Linked DNA regions of Arabidopsis thaliana. The protein of the gene in region 1 interacts with the protein of each later gene in a pairwise test. Each region holds a gene or a part of one and is shown in the gene's direction. Other genes may lie near its edges. The genes, in order: AT2G14880, AT1G74840, NF-YB10 and RVE1.

Region 1 (3,932 bases):
TTTGAATATTTTGTTGGTCAACGCTGGAGTTAGTCGACCGGTTAATCTGAAATGCTATATTTATGATGTTGACCACATAACGCTATATACTTTCTATATGTGGCCATGCAATCTATATACATCAAGAAGCTGAATATTCTTTAATTTACTTGACATGTGTAGTCATGTGTTGCGTTATACTTCAAGTATCTAACAATCTTTTTTCTTTAATTTTTTTTGATAAATTAAATTTATTATATTACTATACTAGTTAACATATTAATCAAATAGTTATCTGCCACACAAATATTATACCTTATATAACTCGTTATTTTGTTCTTCATATGATATGATAAATGAGTTAACTCGATAAATATAAATTTAGCACATAAATTATAAACTTATTGATATATACTTTGTTATCATGATAACCCGATAGATAATCATCTAACTCACAATATGTTTTTACTCTTGTATTTAATAACCAATATATCCAGAATCAGATTAAAACGTCGATATCTATTTGTTTCTATTGCTAAACAATTTGTGATTTGTGAAAGTATGTATTTTTCCAACTTATACAAATTGTTGAGAGAGAACTAATTATACAAAAAATAGATATGTTCTTATGTTTAAGTTTTTTGGGTATTAAGATTATTATAACCCATTTTTTGGAGACATTATGTCTAATAGCACATACAAGTAAAGTAATGACTCCAAAAGCTTAGTCAAGATGTTGGTAACTATAATAGCACATATATATGTTTTGAAAAAGATCTTATAGCCATAAAAATTTGTATATTCACTATTATTGCCATTTTGAATTAAAAATGAAAGAAAAAACAGAAAATATTAAATTAAAGAAAACCTATTTTTTTTTTTTTTTTTTCGTTTGGTTAGCGACAACAGTTGAGGGCAAAAAAAACCTCCGACTATAATTTTTCTGAGGAAAACATAGTTTCTGACGAGGCTAACAATTTCAGTGATGTTTATCGAATAGCATTTCATCTACTTCCACGGTTGAGGAGTTTGATCAGGCAAGGTCTCGGATTTTAGAAGATTAGTTGTCGTAATTTTCTAGGTATTTTCAATAAGAATATCGGTTTTATCTTTTACTATGTGATATTGATAGTTGGTTTGATGGTCGAGATGTTCAGGCCGGCCGCTGCTATATCTTTGGATATTCTATTGTTCACTAGGGTTTACATAGGTTCAATCATTTAGTTTTCTTGATCATTCAAGATTGATGTTATCTAGTTTTGATCTGTTGCTTCTCGTCTCTATATTTTATATATGATCGAAATCTGCTTCTATGGTGTATTGGTGTGGTTCTATGGTTTAGCTTGGAACTCTAAGTAGTTTTTCTTGCCAGGTTATGAAGCATAGTTTAAAAAGTTGTACTACGCTTATAAAGTTTGGCTTCTTAAGAGAAGGATTTGTATGATTGTTGGCCAAAGACATCTTCGATACATTCTATCAATTTTTTAAAAAAATTCTGATTTCTTTAGTTAGTTTGATATGTCTCCATTTTATCGATTTTATTTTAAATTTTTTGAAGTTTTCACTTCTAATTTTATATTTTCAGTTCTTTTTGACCGTCAATTATTTTTTTTATCATAAAGTTTTAGATTCTAAAAATATTTATATTTTTAACCCGCATAAATTTTGTATTTAACCAAAAATTTCCCTAAGGTTTTCTTTTAACAATTTGTCCATTAGAAAAAATAAAAGACAATAAATAGTGTTTCTCCTCGATGAAGACAAAACTCCAATACTAAGAATAAAAAAAATAAAAACCAAAAAGCAAAAGGGATAACACAAAACCCCTTTCACCTTCCCAATTCCACCACCACACAGACAAAGCACACCGAAAATGGCGGTTTCTTCTGGAACATTCTCCACTTTCCTCTGCATCAAAACGACATCTTTCCGCAACCCATCAACTCCTCTGTCCTCTCTCCGGTTCGCCTCTCACCCGGCGGCTAAACTACGCTTGGTTCGAGCGGTAACATCTGCGACGGAATCTTCAGAGCCAACCGCAACCAATAAGAGAGTGCCACGCGGTATCATGAAACCTAGACCAGTTTCACCAGAGATGCAAGACATCGTCGAACTTCCTGAAATCGCTCGCACACAAGCTCTTAAGCGTATTTGGGCTTACATCAAAGAACATGACCTTCAGGTAACTTAACAACCAAGAATCTCTCTCAGAAACACTCTGGTTTTGGTTTCTCTTATGGTTTTGTTTCGCTTTCTTCAATCCGGTGGTTTGATATTTTAGGGTTTCTGTAGGAAAATTGAACGGTCTGGATTCAAGAAGACAGAAATTGAATTAGGTTGTCTTCTTGTTAGTTATGTAACTTGTAAGTTTTCTTTAGATTAGGAAGCTGAAAATATTTTGGTGACTAATTGCTTCATATGATTTTGGGGGTAGTTGTTTATAACGTTTTGTATAAGCAAATTTGATTCTTTGATTGCGTCTCGTTTACTTGCTTGGCTATGTGTATCCTTAGAGATAACTAATAATCTTCTCTGGGCTATGTTCTTGAACCTTGTTGCCTAGTTTGACCAAAATCCTAATATGTTCTGTCATTGGCTTTGTATCTCTGATGTTTTGATCTCTGCTTCTTGGTATTGTTGCTGTTTGGTTCAGGTTCTCTAAGTATGAAATGGAACTTTTTTCAGCTCTTGAAATTCTAGTTCTATAGTGTTTAAATGTGGATGCTGTTTCTCTGCAAGATTTATAGTCTATAGCAACCAAGTAGCCAAAACTTTACTCTAGTAGAAAGCTCTGTATTATTCTCATTGACATGTCTTGAGGTTTCAAAGTTTAAAGAACCAATTTAGCTACGGTACTTCAAGATGTTTTACTTGCATCAAAGTTTTACTAAATGACTAATTTTGTTCTTTAGGACCCACAAAACAAGAGAGAAATACTGTGTGATGAGAAGCTGAAGAAGATATTCGAAGGAAGAGATCGGGTTGGGTTCCTAGAGATTGCAAAGCTCATCGGTCCTCACTTCCTCTGATGGATTGTTTCCGCGGAACTTTATTTGGATGATTGTCTATGTTTTGTTGTTGACCTGTTATGGCCATGAAAAGAGAAGGGTATTTGAAGTTGAGGAAGACTTAGATTAGTAAATTAGGTTTTTTTTTGGTTGCTTCAATTCAATGGATGTTATGTAGTCGTTGCTTCCTAATGTTGTTTGCGTTTTCGTTTCGATTTCAGATTCTATTTTTCTTGTTTGACTAACGGTAAACGGCTTTTGACAACATGTTTTTCCGTTTATTTAGTTTTCGAAATTCACACATGTTAGTTACGTTTTATAATCATGTACATACTCCGTTGAGAAGAGATTGAGGTAAGGTTTGGAAGACATATCTACTAGGCTCAGGGATTTGTGGTATGATACTAATGACGTATATACTTAGAAACGGTTGACAAAAGAGCGAGAAAATTTACATTTTTCACTTCACTCGCTATATTACGAACTCATATTACCTCTGGATAGATTGAATCTCGTTTTGTCTAGAAAATTAACCATTTTACCATTTACAAATATCAAATAATTTAGTATTAATTTGGGTTTAGCCTATAGATATGTGAAACTAGGAATCAAAATATCTAAATATGGGTTTTAGGTTCGGCCCATTGAAACTTGTCTGTCTCTCCTTCTCATCTGTAAAGTAGAAGGCTTTTTTTGTTTTTAGTCGGCCAAATTCCATTAAAACGGAAGCCCAATGGGCAGTACAAAGAAGTGAAAATTACATAAGCCCATTCTCCAACATATACATCCTTGATTAGGTTAACAACTGCTTAATCTTAAACTAAATAAAGTAAAAGATTAAGAAAATAAGGAGCCACCACGTGTAACACCACGTGTAACACCACGTGTTAACACATAAGAAGGAGAAGGAGAAGCAGTCGGCGCCGGGCAAATCTGCGAGTTGAC
Region 2 (4,127 bases), on another chromosome or scaffold:
TATATGAAGAAGCGTCTATATGAAAATCTCAAGTAAGTAGCCAACTAAGTGTTTTGATGGATTGTTAGACCCATGATTTTGCAGCCATAGATTTTTTTTCGTTTTTTTTTCCATTCAACTATGTTTTTGATTACTATAAAGCTAAATGCTAATGTAAGATCAAAGCTCTAGTTACAATTAAAGGATCTATTAATCAAGATTCCTCAGGGAAGCTCTAGTTTTTGCTTGTGACCTCACCTGATGAACTCTCTCTGTTTCGAAATCTAACTTATTACATAGCAATGACCCAACTCCACCCAGAATAAAGAAAACAATCTGTTGTGCAAGATTCCTTCTTCGGTCTGATTAATCTTTTTCTCTCTCTCGTCCTCAGATATGTGTTTGTTTTCTGATTTAGGAAAGTCACTACAAGTTTGTCATCCAAATTGGTAATAAAATAAGAAAAAGATTGGAGAAAGAAAGGATCTTCCTATAGTGCTTCACACATTACAACTTTAAGATTCCACTTTGTGTGCGCATAAAAGTAATGGTGGCTTTGCTTTCTAACCGATGCTAGTGCTTTGTGTGATTTTGCTGTCTTCCAAAACTATTTACCAAATTTTGTAAATACTTTTTAGAATCTTTTCCCTACAAATCTAAAATAGATAAATAATAATAGTATGTGATCATATTGCTTACAGTCAAATCACATCCTAACATTCTACTAAAAGACTAAAACTATCACCTTTTTGTTTTTTAATGCTATATAGTTGTGATCAAGTCTGGACATACGATCATGCTGTTTATACTACAATTAGGTCCTTAACAGCGTCTTAAAATTTACTCTTAGCTAGAAAACGACAAATTCGACTACACAATCATTTTTGTTGTTGAATTAGATTCCTGAAATTGTAAGTTTTTGTGTTGAAATTCAAAGTTATAATTTCCAAAAAGGATTCACCTGTCTCCCAAGATTTTTTTCTTAATAATCAACTCATAGATCCACAAGATATAGTATTTTAGAAGAAAAAAAAGTACAAGGATGGAGCTGTAACTAAATAGATTATTAGAGCAGAGTACAGAATCATTTCAGAAGCTGACTATTTTTCTAAGCTCAAGTTGCATGCGCTTAGGCCTTAGAGACATTGCGTTGACCAGTACATTATAACCTGTAGATTTTTATCATAAAAATACATGAGGGTAACGTTAAGAAAAATAAAAGCGTCGATTTCATTTCATTTTTCTCATTCTGTTATTTCATTTTTTTGTATTTAACTTTGAGTTTGCGAAAGTCAATAAATATTTCTTCGTTATACGACCTACATTTTTTGGTCGACATAGCGAAATACTTTTTTAACTTCTTATTATAGGATAACATTTATTTAACTCTTTTTTCGTCATCCTATAAGATTAATTAAACTACTAACAAAAAACCTAATAAATCTAGTCAGCCAATGAATAAAAAAAGTCTATCCAAATGAAAACTCTGTAGAGAGACAGGCAGGTAAGAAAAAAATACAAGAACAGACGAATAAAAACAAAACACGTGTCATATGGTACCGTCACCAACACCTACAACATGTAATAGTTTAAAAAGGAACCACGTGGCTTTTGGCTTATAAAAGGGTCCCCAAAGAAGCTCAGATCTAACTCACACCACTCCATTGCCCATTGCTCTGTGTACTTTGCTTCTTTAGGAGAAAGAAAGCACAAGGGGCAAAATCGGAAAGATTATCATGGCCGACGGTAGTACTAGTTCTTCGGAGTCCACTACCGCCTGCGCTGGAAGCGGCACAAGAAGAGAGATTATGCTGTTCGGAGTCAGGGTTGTGCTTGACCCGATGAGAAAGTGCGTGAGTTTGAACAATCTGTCTGACTATGAACAGACGGCGGAGACTCCAAAGATCGACGGCGAAGATAGAGATGAACAAGATATGAACAAAACCCCGGCCGGTTACGCCTCGGCGGATGAAGCTCTTCCCATGTCTTCTTCTAACGGCAAAATCGAGAGGAAACGAGGTATTACTCTTCGATTGAAACTTTTTTTTATCATTCCATAAATTTGATCACTTTAAACTTAGGGATTTGTTAGATATGGTTTGAGAAATGGACTATGAACAACTTTATGTTCATTTGGATTTAGAAAGATGGCTAATTTATTGGGTTTCTTTCTATTTCTTAGGAGTTCCATGGACTGAAGAAGAACACAAGCTGTTCTTGCTTGGGCTGCAGAGAGTCGGTAAAGGAGATTGGAAAGGAATATCAAGAAACTTTGTCAAGACCAGAACCTCTACACAAGTTGCTAGTCATGCTCAGAAATACTTCCTCAGGCGAAGTAATCTTAACCGTCGCCGCCGAAGATCTAGCCTTTTTGACATGACTACTGATACGGTAAATCTCTAATCCTTTGTGACTCTAGTAAGTTAAGTGGTTAGGTTTAGTTTTTAGCTTAGTTGTTTAAAAGAAACTAATAGAGAGCCTTTGTGAATTGTTGGTTAGTGAAAACTTAAGTATAACAAAACTGATTTTGCTTGGTTTTGTTATCAGGTCATACCCATGGAAGAAGATCACCAAGTGCTTATACAGGAGAACACATCTCAATCATCTTCTCCTGTACCGGAAATCAACAACTTCTCTATACATCCGGTTATGCAAGTCTTTCCCGAGTTCCCGGTACCAACAGGGAATCAATCATACGGACAGCTTACTTCATCGAATCTCATCAATTTGGTTCCATTAACTTTTCAGTCAAGTCCAGCACCGCTTTCTCTCAACCTCTCACTAGCTTCATCTAATCTTAATGAACCATCTCCTTCAATGCATCCAGCATTCAACACGATTGGAGTCGCTTAGAGCTTATCCTAAAGGTGAAAATCTGCAACACACCCTGTTTGTTTCTTTGCTGTACAGATAGGTCTTGACTTTGTTATAAAAAAATTCGTCAAATTTATGTATTTGGCTAAAAAAAATCTGTTGAAAAGAAGAATAATAAACAGAGTTTGGAGATAGGACTTAAGTGGGGTTTTAGGGTTCATAATCATCCTGTGTTTTTCCTTCCATGTTTGGAAGTTGTTGTAATACTCTCTAAGTTCATTCGTGTGGATCTATCAAAACTTATAAATCATATTAACGTTATGTTTGTTTTATTCATGATCTCAATCATAAACAGAGTCGTAGTACTTGCTTATCATGTGGCTATCTAAATCATGTTAGATGATTCATGGGGTTTTAGGGTTTTTATAATATATCTGATTTCCAAGGATAAGATATTTTATGTTTGTAGAATAATGTCATTATCTTTAATGATGCCAATAATGTCAAATTTTATTGGTCACTTCCATCATAGTGGAGCTTTTTCTTTTCCCATCAGATGCTTTTAATATATTTTGTGTGGGATGATTACATATTACCCCTGTTGCGTAAGCAATAATCTTCCAATCACAGAACATGATCCCCATTCATTAATCGACCAATCAAACAGCATCATTTTTATATGATGATGATGTATATGTGTATGTCATGTGTGTGTTGGCATGTCCTCTGTTTCTGTCGTGTATGGTTGTATTCAGTTTTAGCGTCAACGACAAACTTCTCCTCACGTCTAAGCGGGGAAAAAAAAAAAAAAAACGAATCCAGTTTATCTTTGTTTGTTTTGTATCTCTCTGTCTTTTGACATTGTCTCTAAATTTATCAATTTCAAATCTGCGACTATCCTTTGTTTTTGGGTACTTTATCTCATCAAATTCCAGCCCAATCTAGACTCTCTAAACCCAGAAATAGAAACACAAATCACAAAAGATTGAGATAGATAGATCATGATCTCTGTTCTTTGTTGATCTTTGACCAAAATTCGATCTCCTATGTATATACAATTGCTCTGTTTTTTCTTGTTCTTGTTTCTGCTTTTACAAGCCACAATGTCTAAACGTTCTTTCAAGAAATTTGTGGAACAAGAACTCGGATCTCTTCCTCATTTCCTCATCTACACTGTTCTTGAATGGAGCCTCATTGTTTTCCTCTTCATCGACGGCGTTATCGCCTTTCTGTCAAACCAATTCGCCAAATTCTTCGACCTCAACATTCCTTGTCTTCTCTGCACCAGAATCGACCACATTCTCGTCCCTAGAGACCCTCAATTCTATTACAAC
Region 3 (4,437 bases), on another chromosome or scaffold:
CTTATGCATATACTCTAAAATTTGACTCAACCTCTTTATTTCAAAACCTACGAAAGTCACATAAAATTTTGTTTTTAAAGATATTTAGTTAAATATATATATATATATATATATATATATATATGTATATCCATTAATACTATGTTTATATCCTCTATTAAAATATCGGACATGTTCATAAAATAGCAGGTTGAAGACACCGGGTTCCCATGTCGAACCACTAAAGTGAAGCTAAAGGCCTTTGACACCATTTACTAAACTTTGAAACTTTGACTATGGTTGTGACTCGAATAGTTAAAACACAAATAGCTGGAGAAAAAATTAGAACCATGACATTAATAATTAAATAAAATATACATCACAGATGAGCATCGAGCAAGACATATATGATTTGCTTACCTATTACCTTCATCATGAACAGAAATTCTCAGTGTAATGATTGCTAAGAAATTCTTAGTGTAATAATTTTTAAGCCACTTTGTATCTACCATTGCACCTATAAAAGGATGTATTAGCAAAAACACATGAAACATGTTATAAAGAAGAGAAGTAACAAAGTGTGAATCAGTATCACCACATTTGGACGATACAAAAGCTACACAAAACAAATATTAAAATTATAAAAATGAGAGAGAGAAACTTGATTTTAGTTCATTTCTTTAGTGAAAATGAGAAAAATAAAAAACAACGTAATACAGAGGACGAAGCAAACCTTTGAGATTACCATTCTTTGGTTTCTCCAATCCGTCATACTCATATGGTTCGTGCTTTGTCTTTTTTTCTCTTTACTTTCAATTTAATTATGTGGAAAGACTTAGCAGACCACAAAATATTATTTCGATGTTTAAACAATCCCGAAAGCAACACAGAATGATAGAAGTTTAAAAGGAGTTGTAAGAAACAAACCTTGAGGAACCGATGTTAATGTTGTTCCTATGAAGAATCCTACCAGGAGCAACGTCACCACCATCGATCAACTCTCTAAGCCCCCAATTCTCCACCTCCTCTTCTTTCACCTCCTTCTTCTTCTCCTTCTCCACATGGCGGTTATTAGGAAGCTTCACAGGCAACCTCTCGAAGTAATTCCCGAAACTTACCATGCACGTTTTTATTATCTTCGTATAGAAAGAATGAAGCTTCAACCTCAAGCGTTAACAAATGCAGAGAAACCAACTTAAAAAAAACTGACATGCAGCGTCTTGCATTTTATAAGGTGAAGGGTTACACTAAAAATGATATTAAATATGATACTAAATATTGAAATCATGGTCATAATTACATAAATGATAATTATGTTAGTGTAACGTAACTGCTTTGATTTATGAAATAGAACAGTTTAGTTGACTAAAAAAAAAACAGCAATAGTTAGACATAATAAATAAAAGAAAACGTGATATCACATGTGTCATTAAATAGAATATTAATTAAACTCAAAGAATATGGAAAATAGTATATTTAAATTTAAGAAGAATGACACATGTCGAATGAATAAAGCGCCACTTGTAAGATTTTTAGAGCACAAGTTTGAGGAAACCTTACTTTATTATATAAGATACTAGGTTTTATTACAAAACTAATACTATTTTGATTCCAAACAAATATATATTTGCTTAAATGACAGAATAAAAACTGAATAAAACAATAAAGATAACAAGAAAAACAGTAAACCACTTAAATAATTAAATTAGACAATTAAATAAGTAGAAATTACATGTCACTGAGAAAAACCACTTATCATAACAACTATTTAGATAAATTAAATCCACTTACATAAATACAATGTATATAAAAAAGAAATCATGTTTTTTTACTATAGTTTACATGATAGAAGAAAAAAATTCACTACATTGAAATAAATCTTATATATTTTATTTCACCTAATTACTAAAAAAAGCAGAACAAAGAAACATTGTTGAGGAAAAAACAAAAGAGTTTTTTTTGTTTGTTTGGTTTTGTCAAATTAACAAAAAAAAAATGAACGGTGTCGATAAAAAAATAAAAAAGCCCTAAATCGTTGAATCGCATACAAGCTCCTATCTTCTCCAGCGTCGGATCAGATCAGATCAAATCTCTCTCTCCATCTCCGTCTCCTCCTCCAATCATCATTTCTCTCTCCGTCTCCCGCTCTTTTTCGAATTCTCCTTCTTCTTCAGGTATTCTAATCACTTCTTCGCGCTTTCTGGGTTTGGTTCCTCGATTCTCCCGATTTCCCAATCTCTACCTGATTATCTAGGGTTTCTGAGATGGCCGAATCGCAAACCGGTGGTGGTGGTGGTGGAAGCCATGAGAGTGGCGGTGATCAGAGCCCGAGGTCTTTGAATGTTCGTGAGCAGGACAGGTTTCTTCCGATTGCTAACATAAGCCGTATCATGAAGAGAGGTTTACCTCTAAATGGCAAAATCGCTAAAGATGCTAAAGAGACTATGCAGGAATGTGTCTCTGAATTCATCAGCTTCGTCACCAGCGAGTAATTTCTTTCTCTACTTTCTCAAAAATGTTACCTTTTTGTTGCTTTGGTGGTTATAGCGTGTAAAGCCCTCTTCTTTGTTAAGTTAGATTGATGTTATATTCATTGGGTTGTTAAGCAAAGTCACTATGTCGATTTTGGAATATTGTTTTGCCTTTTAGGGCTAGTGATAAGTGCCAAAGAGAGAAAAGGAAGACCATCAATGGAGATGATTTGCTTTGGGCTATGGCCACTTTAGGATTCGAAGATTACATCGATCCCCTCAAGGTTTACCTGATGCGATATAGAGAGGTATGTTCCACTTCAGATTAGTCAGTTTACATTCTGCTATACATTCACTGACTCTCTGTTTTTCCTTCTCATTTCCTTGTCTATGCTATTTGGATTGGAATTTTGCAGATGGAGGTTCGTGGTTCTCCTCTTTCATTTATCTTTCTGATAGTCGAATTTTGTACGTGGATCCTTTTATGGGGTATATGGTGTATGATTGTATCTAATTAGGATTGTCTGCTACCCTTTGCTATTGTTATCTGTCTGATAGGGTGACACTAAAGGATCAGGAAAAGGCGGGGAATCGAGTGCAAAGAGAGATGGTCAACCAAGCCAAGTGTCTCAGGTAATGACTCGGTCTTCTCCAGTTGATATGGTCGTTTACCTAAGCATTAGCTTCTCCAGCTAATTTATTGTTTCCCTGTCTTTACTTTCTGAACAGTTCTCGCAGGTTCCTCAACAAGGCTCATTCTCACAGGGTCCTTATGGAAACTCTCAAGTAAGTGTTTTCCGACAAAAGAAATGTTGATACTTATAAATGAATTCATTCTCTACATAGAGCAGAGCCGGGGTATAAAGAGAGAATATTATTAACAATTAAAGGATTTAAGGACTTTAATAGACTCGATAAAACCGTCATATATGCATTATCCACTTTTTGAAATCTAGACATAGGTTCTCATATGTTCCAGTCTCTGAGGTTCGGCAATAGCATCGAGCATCTTGAAGTGTTAATGGTATTTGTAATCTATCAATATGCAGATAATTGATTAAACTCGTTTGTGAATGTAGGGTTCGAATATGATGGTTCAAATGCCGGGCACAGAGTAGTACTAGGACACTATTCATCACAATCTTCCGAGACTCGACTATGCCTGTTGTGTCTGAGAATCTGAGTGATCCACTTTCCATAGATATGGATTGTGGTATCTCAGTTTTTGGGAGAGAGAAGATTTGTATATGATTGTGTTGTAGGGAGAAGAGTTTGGTTTGCTTATGATAAGAATTGAAAAGCACCTTTTTTTTCTTTTGACTGTTATGTTTCTTAGGTTTTGGTCTTAAGCAGAAGCTATTTATCACCACTTCATTGGCCTGTTGATTCTTTCATGCAAGTGAGCCCGTAACTTTTATAAAACAACATCATGATTTATAATTATCTCTTTGATTTTTTGGTCCTAAATTCGAGTTTCATTTGACATCATCCATTGATAAAAAGAAACGAAACTTGATATTGAATCGTTGTGGTGTGGTAAAATTCACGATCTAAGTTTGTGATAACACTCCGTTTATCTGTTGGTGTATATTGATAAGGCTTTCTGTTACTGCTCAGAATCTAACACATGGGACATGTGAATGTCATATGGAACATGTTCATGTTTATGGGCCTAATCTTGATCAAACAAAAATAAAAACTTTGAAATTTAAGAAAAACTGAATAACAGAATCTAAATGAAACAATAGTAAGAATAAAAAGACCAAAAACTCTTTAAAAGAGCAAAACCAAAACCTAAAACTCTTGAACTAAACTCAATGCTTAGTGATGAGGTCTGAAAGGGTAACTACCATCTGTTGACGGTAGGTGACAACTTCTTCTTGGGAACATTCGGGAAAGTAACAGCTTCGGTTGATGGTTGCACCGTGACTCGAAGCTTAATCCCAGCCTGACAAAGACCGGTCTTTAAGCTTACAAAATAATGCAC
Region 4 (5,174 bases), on another chromosome or scaffold:
AAATGAATAAGAAACAAATAAAAAGAAAACTAGTGGCTAGAACCCTCCTTCTCGTCATTCCACATGTCAAGTTTCTGTAGAACAGACGGCTAAAATAAGAATCAGTGACATGGAGAAAAGTGCACTGACATTCACTAATTATTAGTATTAGTACTATATTATAAATTAAAGTGTAATTACTTTCACTTCCACCGAGGATGACTTTTACAATTTGAGGAGTATATTAAATTATGTGCTTAACAATGATTTCAATAAAATATCTACACATTTGTGAAAATTGATGACGACCTGGACGATGGATAATCATATTAATTCGAGAAAGTTGAAACTAATTATAAATATCATAGATAGATTCGTATCTGTATATATTATATTATATGGTATGTATACGTAGACTTACGTTATGGATAGACCCCCACCATGTTTTTATATAGAGGCAGAAGATATTTAACTTATGGTTTTCGTTTTTTCGTAAAATATGAAACAAAGACAACGACAAAACGAAAAAGAACCAAAAATAGTATCTCATTCTACTTTCACTTGATTTTGGAATTTCATTTATTTAGATTGTGATTCAAAACCATTTCAACTATGTAAAATTCTGTGCAATATTTTTCCCAACTAAACATATAAGTTTGACATGAAAAAGAATATAGGAAAATTTAGAGGTCCAAATTTTATATGTATATCGGAATCATGGTAGGATACGTTATCAATTGCATTTGTATGAGGCTTGCTATTGCTAGTATAGAAGCATCATCAACAAATCTTAATATCAGTCCAAATTTGAATAACCCATTTTGTGGATCTCATTTCATAAAATAAACCATTTTAGTGTCCTGCAAAAATGTGTTTAGACAGAAATCTTTTTTAAAATCTGAATTTAGATATTATGATGGTTATAATTTATATATAAATTTACTATCAAATATTGTGTTCATATATGGAAGAATGGAGAAAAAAGAGTAGAACCCCACAAAATAAAAAATGGATAGACTATGTTTTCTAAGATTGGACAAAGTGTATAATAAAATCTTCTGATCTGGTCCAAAAATAAAATGTTAAGAGTTTTCGAATTCGAATAATTTGATTTTGATTAAGATATCCACTTCGGATATGTTTTCATATGTAGCTTTTTAAAATACCCTAATAAATATTTTCATAAAGAGTTTATGTAAATAAATCAAAATATATTTTTAACTTTTTATTTATTATAGTTTTATATATTACTGTTTTAATTATTTTGAAGTATTTTTGATAGATATGGATTTGGATGGTTCCGCAAACAAATCCTATGGATCCGGATCCAAAGAACCAATCATAAATTTTGGAATATGTCCACCCATATATGGATCAATAGAGATATAGTTAAGAAAAGAAAATGAATTTATCCCGCAAATTTACATTTTTATCTCATGTAGTGGAACCAATGAAAAGCGAGTAAGCTAAGAAGTCATACTCTCGAGAGTACGCCTTTCCATATTTTCCTTTAAAAGTATCTTCTGGTGGCTCACATTTCTCCGTCCAGCAAAATCTTTTTTGTTACATAAATATTATATTTCCTGATATTTTATATTAAAAGATTATCCAATTGAAATGATGTCAAAAAAGGAAAGGAAAAGTAGGGGAATTAAATAAATACATACAGTGATAATCGAAGTACCAAATCTAACTGTTTTAAAACAAGTAGATTCATTTTAAAAAATTAAATATTTGATTTTTCAAAGAGATAAATGAATAAATCTAGTACAAATTTTGTTGCAAAAAAAGAAGATGAAGAATATGAGAAAGAGCGACACGTGGCAAAGATGGACATTGAACGTGAGCCACAAGATTTTCCATCTGTTTCTCGAGCGTTCCATGGAAAACCAATAAGAATTATTATTTTTATTTTTTAAAAATTGGGAAAAAGCGCACATAGCAGAAGCTGACGTGGCATCACCCTCCTTTTTGTCTTCCCTATTTTCTCACCCCCCTAATTCCCTTCTTCCTCCTTCACAGACCCCAAACTCTTCTCTTCTTCTTCTTTCTCTCTGTTTTCTTCTTCTTCCGCCGAATCAGAAAGCTTGTCTTTTTCTTTACTCCGGCTACCAAAACTTCTCGGAGTTTCTCTGAGAGTTTCATTTCCGACCTTCTTCTTATCCTTATTTGCGGCAAGATTTCCAGCGAGAGTTTTTTTCTCTTTTCCTTTATCGAACATAAGAAATCTCTGGTTTGCTGGAAGTTTTTTTTCCGGAAGGTGGAAGCTTAGATTGGTTCTGATTTCAGAAGCAAATCGTTTGTTGTTGCCTAAGTAAACCGAATCAATTTATGGGATCTATAGAAACAGACGGAGAACAGAGGAAATTAAGCTGATTTTTTCAAGTCTAGATTCGCGAATTTATCTTGGTGTTTCCTTTTCTGTGTTCCACACCTTTCGAGTTTTTTTTTGTTTTCCTCCGCCGAGATCTTAATCCGGGAAGTTATGGCGTCGTCTCCGTTGACTGCAAATGTTCAGGTCTGGTCTCAAAATTTGATTTTTATCCACTTTTTTTGTTTTGTTTCTGCTTTATTCAGGTCTGGTCTCAAATGAATCTATGAGTTTAAAATACTGTATACGGACATTTAAGTAATAAAGCTTAGAGTTAAAGCAAGTTCGTTGCAATTCATTTGCAGACTCTTGTTTCTTTTGAGCTATAAGTTCTCTCTAGATTTGTGTGTTGCAACTACATTCATTTGAATCCTTGAGATGGAATCGACTGTGTTGGAATTTTGTGATTAGGATATGTAAATCGAGTTTAATTAGTTGGACTTTGTGAATGAATGTTCATTGAGAAACTGAAGAAGAAAGTAAATAATCCAATGCCACTTTGTGTCATAGTCCTTAAAATGATGTTTCCTAAAGTCGTTTTGCTTGATGATGGCTTTAGGGTACCAACGCTTCTTTGAGGAATAGAGATGAAGAAACTGCAGACAAGCAGATACAATTCAATGACCAAAGTTTTGGGGGAAATGACTATGCACCCAAGGTTTGTTTCTTTTAACATCAAATGTCAAATATTGTTATGTAAAGTGAAGATCTGTGGCTCAGTTCATCTTTTCTTACTTAGGTACGGAAGCCATACACGATAACAAAAGAGAGAGAGAGATGGACAGATGAAGAGCACAAGAAGTTTGTTGAAGCCTTGAAATTATACGGGCGAGCTTGGAGACGAATAGAAGGTAAATTAATGATTTAGTAATATCTCTTGCTACTGAGTTATGGCCTTACCTGGACCCTCAAAAATATATGTTTGTTTCACTAACAGAACATGTGGGCTCAAAGACCGCAGTTCAGATTCGAAGCCATGCTCAGAAGTTTTTCTCTAAGGTTTATACACTTATTTGCTATTATATCTTTACCCTTGTTCAAAGAAAGTATCAGTCTAATCTCTGTAGCAAACCTAAGTTCTGCATAAATAAGGAATCATTATACATACATTGTTTGGAGACTTGTGTTCTGACTTGGCTTTGTTCTGTTGTATTCACACAGGTTGCTCGAGAAGCAACTGGAGGTGATGGGAGCTCAGTAGAGCCGATTGTAATACCTCCTCCTCGTCCCAAGAGAAAGCCAGCGCATCCGTACCCTCGTAAGTTTGGGAACGAGGCAGATCAAACAAGTAGATCGGTTTCTCCCTCAGAACGTGATACTCAATCTCCAACCTCTGTGTTGTCCACTGTTGGATCAGAAGCATTGTGTTCCCTTGATTCGAGTTCACCCAATCGAAGCTTGTCCCCAGTTTCTTCTGCATCACCACCAGCTGCTCTTACAACCACTGCAAATGCACCTGAAGAGCTTGAGACTCTGGTACTTGACATAAACAAAACCGAATTTATACTTAACAGCAATACCTGCTGTTAGATGCTTAATGCTTAATATTCTTGGTTTAATCAATTTGTACAGAAGCTGGAGTTGTTTCCTAGTGAGAGACTCTTAAACAGGGAGAGCTCGATCAAGGAACCAACGAAGCAAAGTCTTAAACTCTTTGGGAAGACAGTTTTGGTATCTGATTCAGGCATGTCCTCTTCTCTAACAACTTCAACATATTGTAAATCCCCAATTCAGCCATTACCACGGAAACTCTCATCATCCAAGACACTACCCATAATAAGAAACTCACAAGAAGAACTCTTGAGCTGCTGGATACAAGTCCCTCTTAAGCAAGAAGATGTGGAAAATAGATGTTTGGATTCAGGAAAGGCTGTCCAAAACGAAGGATCATCGACTGGATCAAACACTGGTTCGGTGGATGATACGGGACACACGGAAAAGACCACAGAACCCGAAACAATGCTATGTCAATGGGAGTTTAAACCAAGTGAGAGGTCTGCATTTTCTGAGCTCAGAAGAACAAACTCCGAGTCAAATTCAAGAGGATTTGGTCCATACAAGAAGAGAAAGATGGTAACAGAAGAAGAAGAGCATGAGATTCATCTCCACTTATAACACATTTTCTTACGTACCCTAAAGAAGAGACTTTAAATTTACTATTCATTCGACTTTCTAAGTTTTCATCAATGTAATTTTTGTTGTTGTTTCATTGTTTTCTCTTGAGGTGTTTGTTCTCTAGGCTAAAATTTTCTGCAAAAGTTTGTAACTGTAAAACTCGTGTACAATTTATACAGTTAAATCTAATGATTATGAGATCTTTCTTAATTGATGGTTCAACAAAAGCAAGTTTCAGGTGTCTCTCTTCAATATCTCCGATTAAATTAGGTTTGGTAAAGAGTTTGCTTTGAAATGAAGGCAAAGAAGAAAAACAGTGAGGTTACCACCAACTGAACAAGTGTGTGTTCAAAGTTCAAACCCAACAAATAACCGAACCGATTCGGAAACCAACTCTAACCTGAAATTTTGATAGAATTTGACCAGACCAAATTAGACCGGTTAACACCCTTTCACGTTAGCCACCAACAGATTAAGCAGTGTCTAACGTACGCCTTATTAATACCACATAAAGACGCAAGAGAAGATGACGTCATACAGAAACAGCGTCGTTTTGAAAGCTGAGTTTTTTTTGTGAAGCGAGCGAGCGTGAGAAGGTGTGACGGGGAAGAGAATGGCGAAGGAAGCGGTCAAGTATGTATGGGAAGGAGCAATTCCTCTGCAGATTCATCTCCACAAATCCGACGTCGCTTCTCACCCTGCTCCTCCT

Evidence for each region.
Region 2: the proteins of AT2G14880 (region 1) and AT1G74840 interact in a two-hybrid assay, tested with the Arabidopsis thaliana proteins (one large-scale study listed by BioGRID).
Region 3: the proteins of AT2G14880 (region 1) and NF-YB10 interact in a two-hybrid assay, tested with the Arabidopsis thaliana proteins (one large-scale study listed by BioGRID).
Region 4: the proteins of AT2G14880 (region 1) and RVE1 interact in a two-hybrid assay, tested with the Arabidopsis thaliana proteins (one large-scale study listed by BioGRID).

What each region holds. Positions count from the first base shown.
Region 1 is NC_003071.7:6,392,762-6,396,693, reverse strand, and holds AT2G14880 (SWIB/MDM2 domain superfamily protein), read left to right. Parts: upstream 1-1,693; 5' UTR 1,694-1,852; coding exon 1,853-2,161; coding exon of another isoform or gene 2,162-2,170; exon of another isoform or gene 2,171-2,342; intron 2,343-2,891; coding exon 2,892-3,008; 3' UTR 3,009-3,384; downstream 3,385-3,932.
Region 2 is NC_003070.9:28,114,906-28,119,032, reverse strand, and holds AT1G74840 (Homeodomain-like superfamily protein), read left to right. Parts: upstream 1-1,610; 5' UTR 1,611-1,715; coding exon 1,716-1,998; intron 1,999-2,161; coding exon 2,162-2,370; intron 2,371-2,526; coding exon 2,527-2,832; 3' UTR 2,833-3,590; downstream 3,591-4,127. Other genes in the region: AT1G74830 (myosin-binding protein, putative (Protein of unknown function, DUF593)), read left to right, coding at 3,840-4,127.
Region 3 is NC_003074.8:19,773,798-19,778,234, reverse strand, and holds NF-YB10 (nuclear factor Y, subunit B10), read left to right. Parts: upstream 1-1,945; 5' UTR 1,946-2,153; exon of another isoform or gene 2,154-2,233; 5' UTR 2,234-2,243; coding exon 2,244-2,467; intron 2,468-2,628; coding exon 2,629-2,758; coding exon of another isoform or gene 2,759-2,779; exon of another isoform or gene 2,780-2,866; coding exon 2,867-2,872; coding exon of another isoform or gene 2,873-2,968; exon of another isoform or gene 2,969-3,008; coding exon 3,009-3,083; intron 3,084-3,179; coding exon 3,180-3,236; intron 3,237-3,529; coding exon 3,530-3,568; 3' UTR 3,569-3,906; downstream 3,907-4,437. Other genes in the region: AT3G53342 (uncharacterized protein), read right to left, coding at 882-1,100; AT3G53330 (plastocyanin-like domain-containing protein), read right to left, coding at 4,297-4,437.
Region 4 is NC_003076.8:5,689,726-5,694,899, reverse strand, and holds RVE1 (Homeodomain-like superfamily protein), read left to right. Parts: upstream 1-1,907; 5' UTR 1,908-1,975; coding exon of another isoform or gene 1,976-2,200; 5' UTR 2,201-2,464; coding exon 2,465-2,497; intron 2,498-2,909; coding exon 2,910-3,008; intron 3,009-3,089; coding exon 3,090-3,201; exon of another isoform or gene 3,202-3,268; coding exon of another isoform or gene 3,269-3,287; coding exon 3,288-3,349; intron 3,350-3,511; coding exon 3,512-3,826; intron 3,827-3,922; coding exon 3,923-4,465; 3' UTR 4,466-4,674; downstream 4,675-5,174. Other genes in the region: AT5G17305 (uncharacterized protein), read right to left, coding at 1,976-2,200; autophagy protein Apg5 family, read left to right, coding at 5,079-5,174. UniProt on the Arabidopsis thaliana protein: Morning-phased transcription factor integrating the circadian clock and auxin pathways. Binds to the evening element (EE) of promoters. Does not act within the central clock, but regulates free auxin levels in a time-of-day specific manner.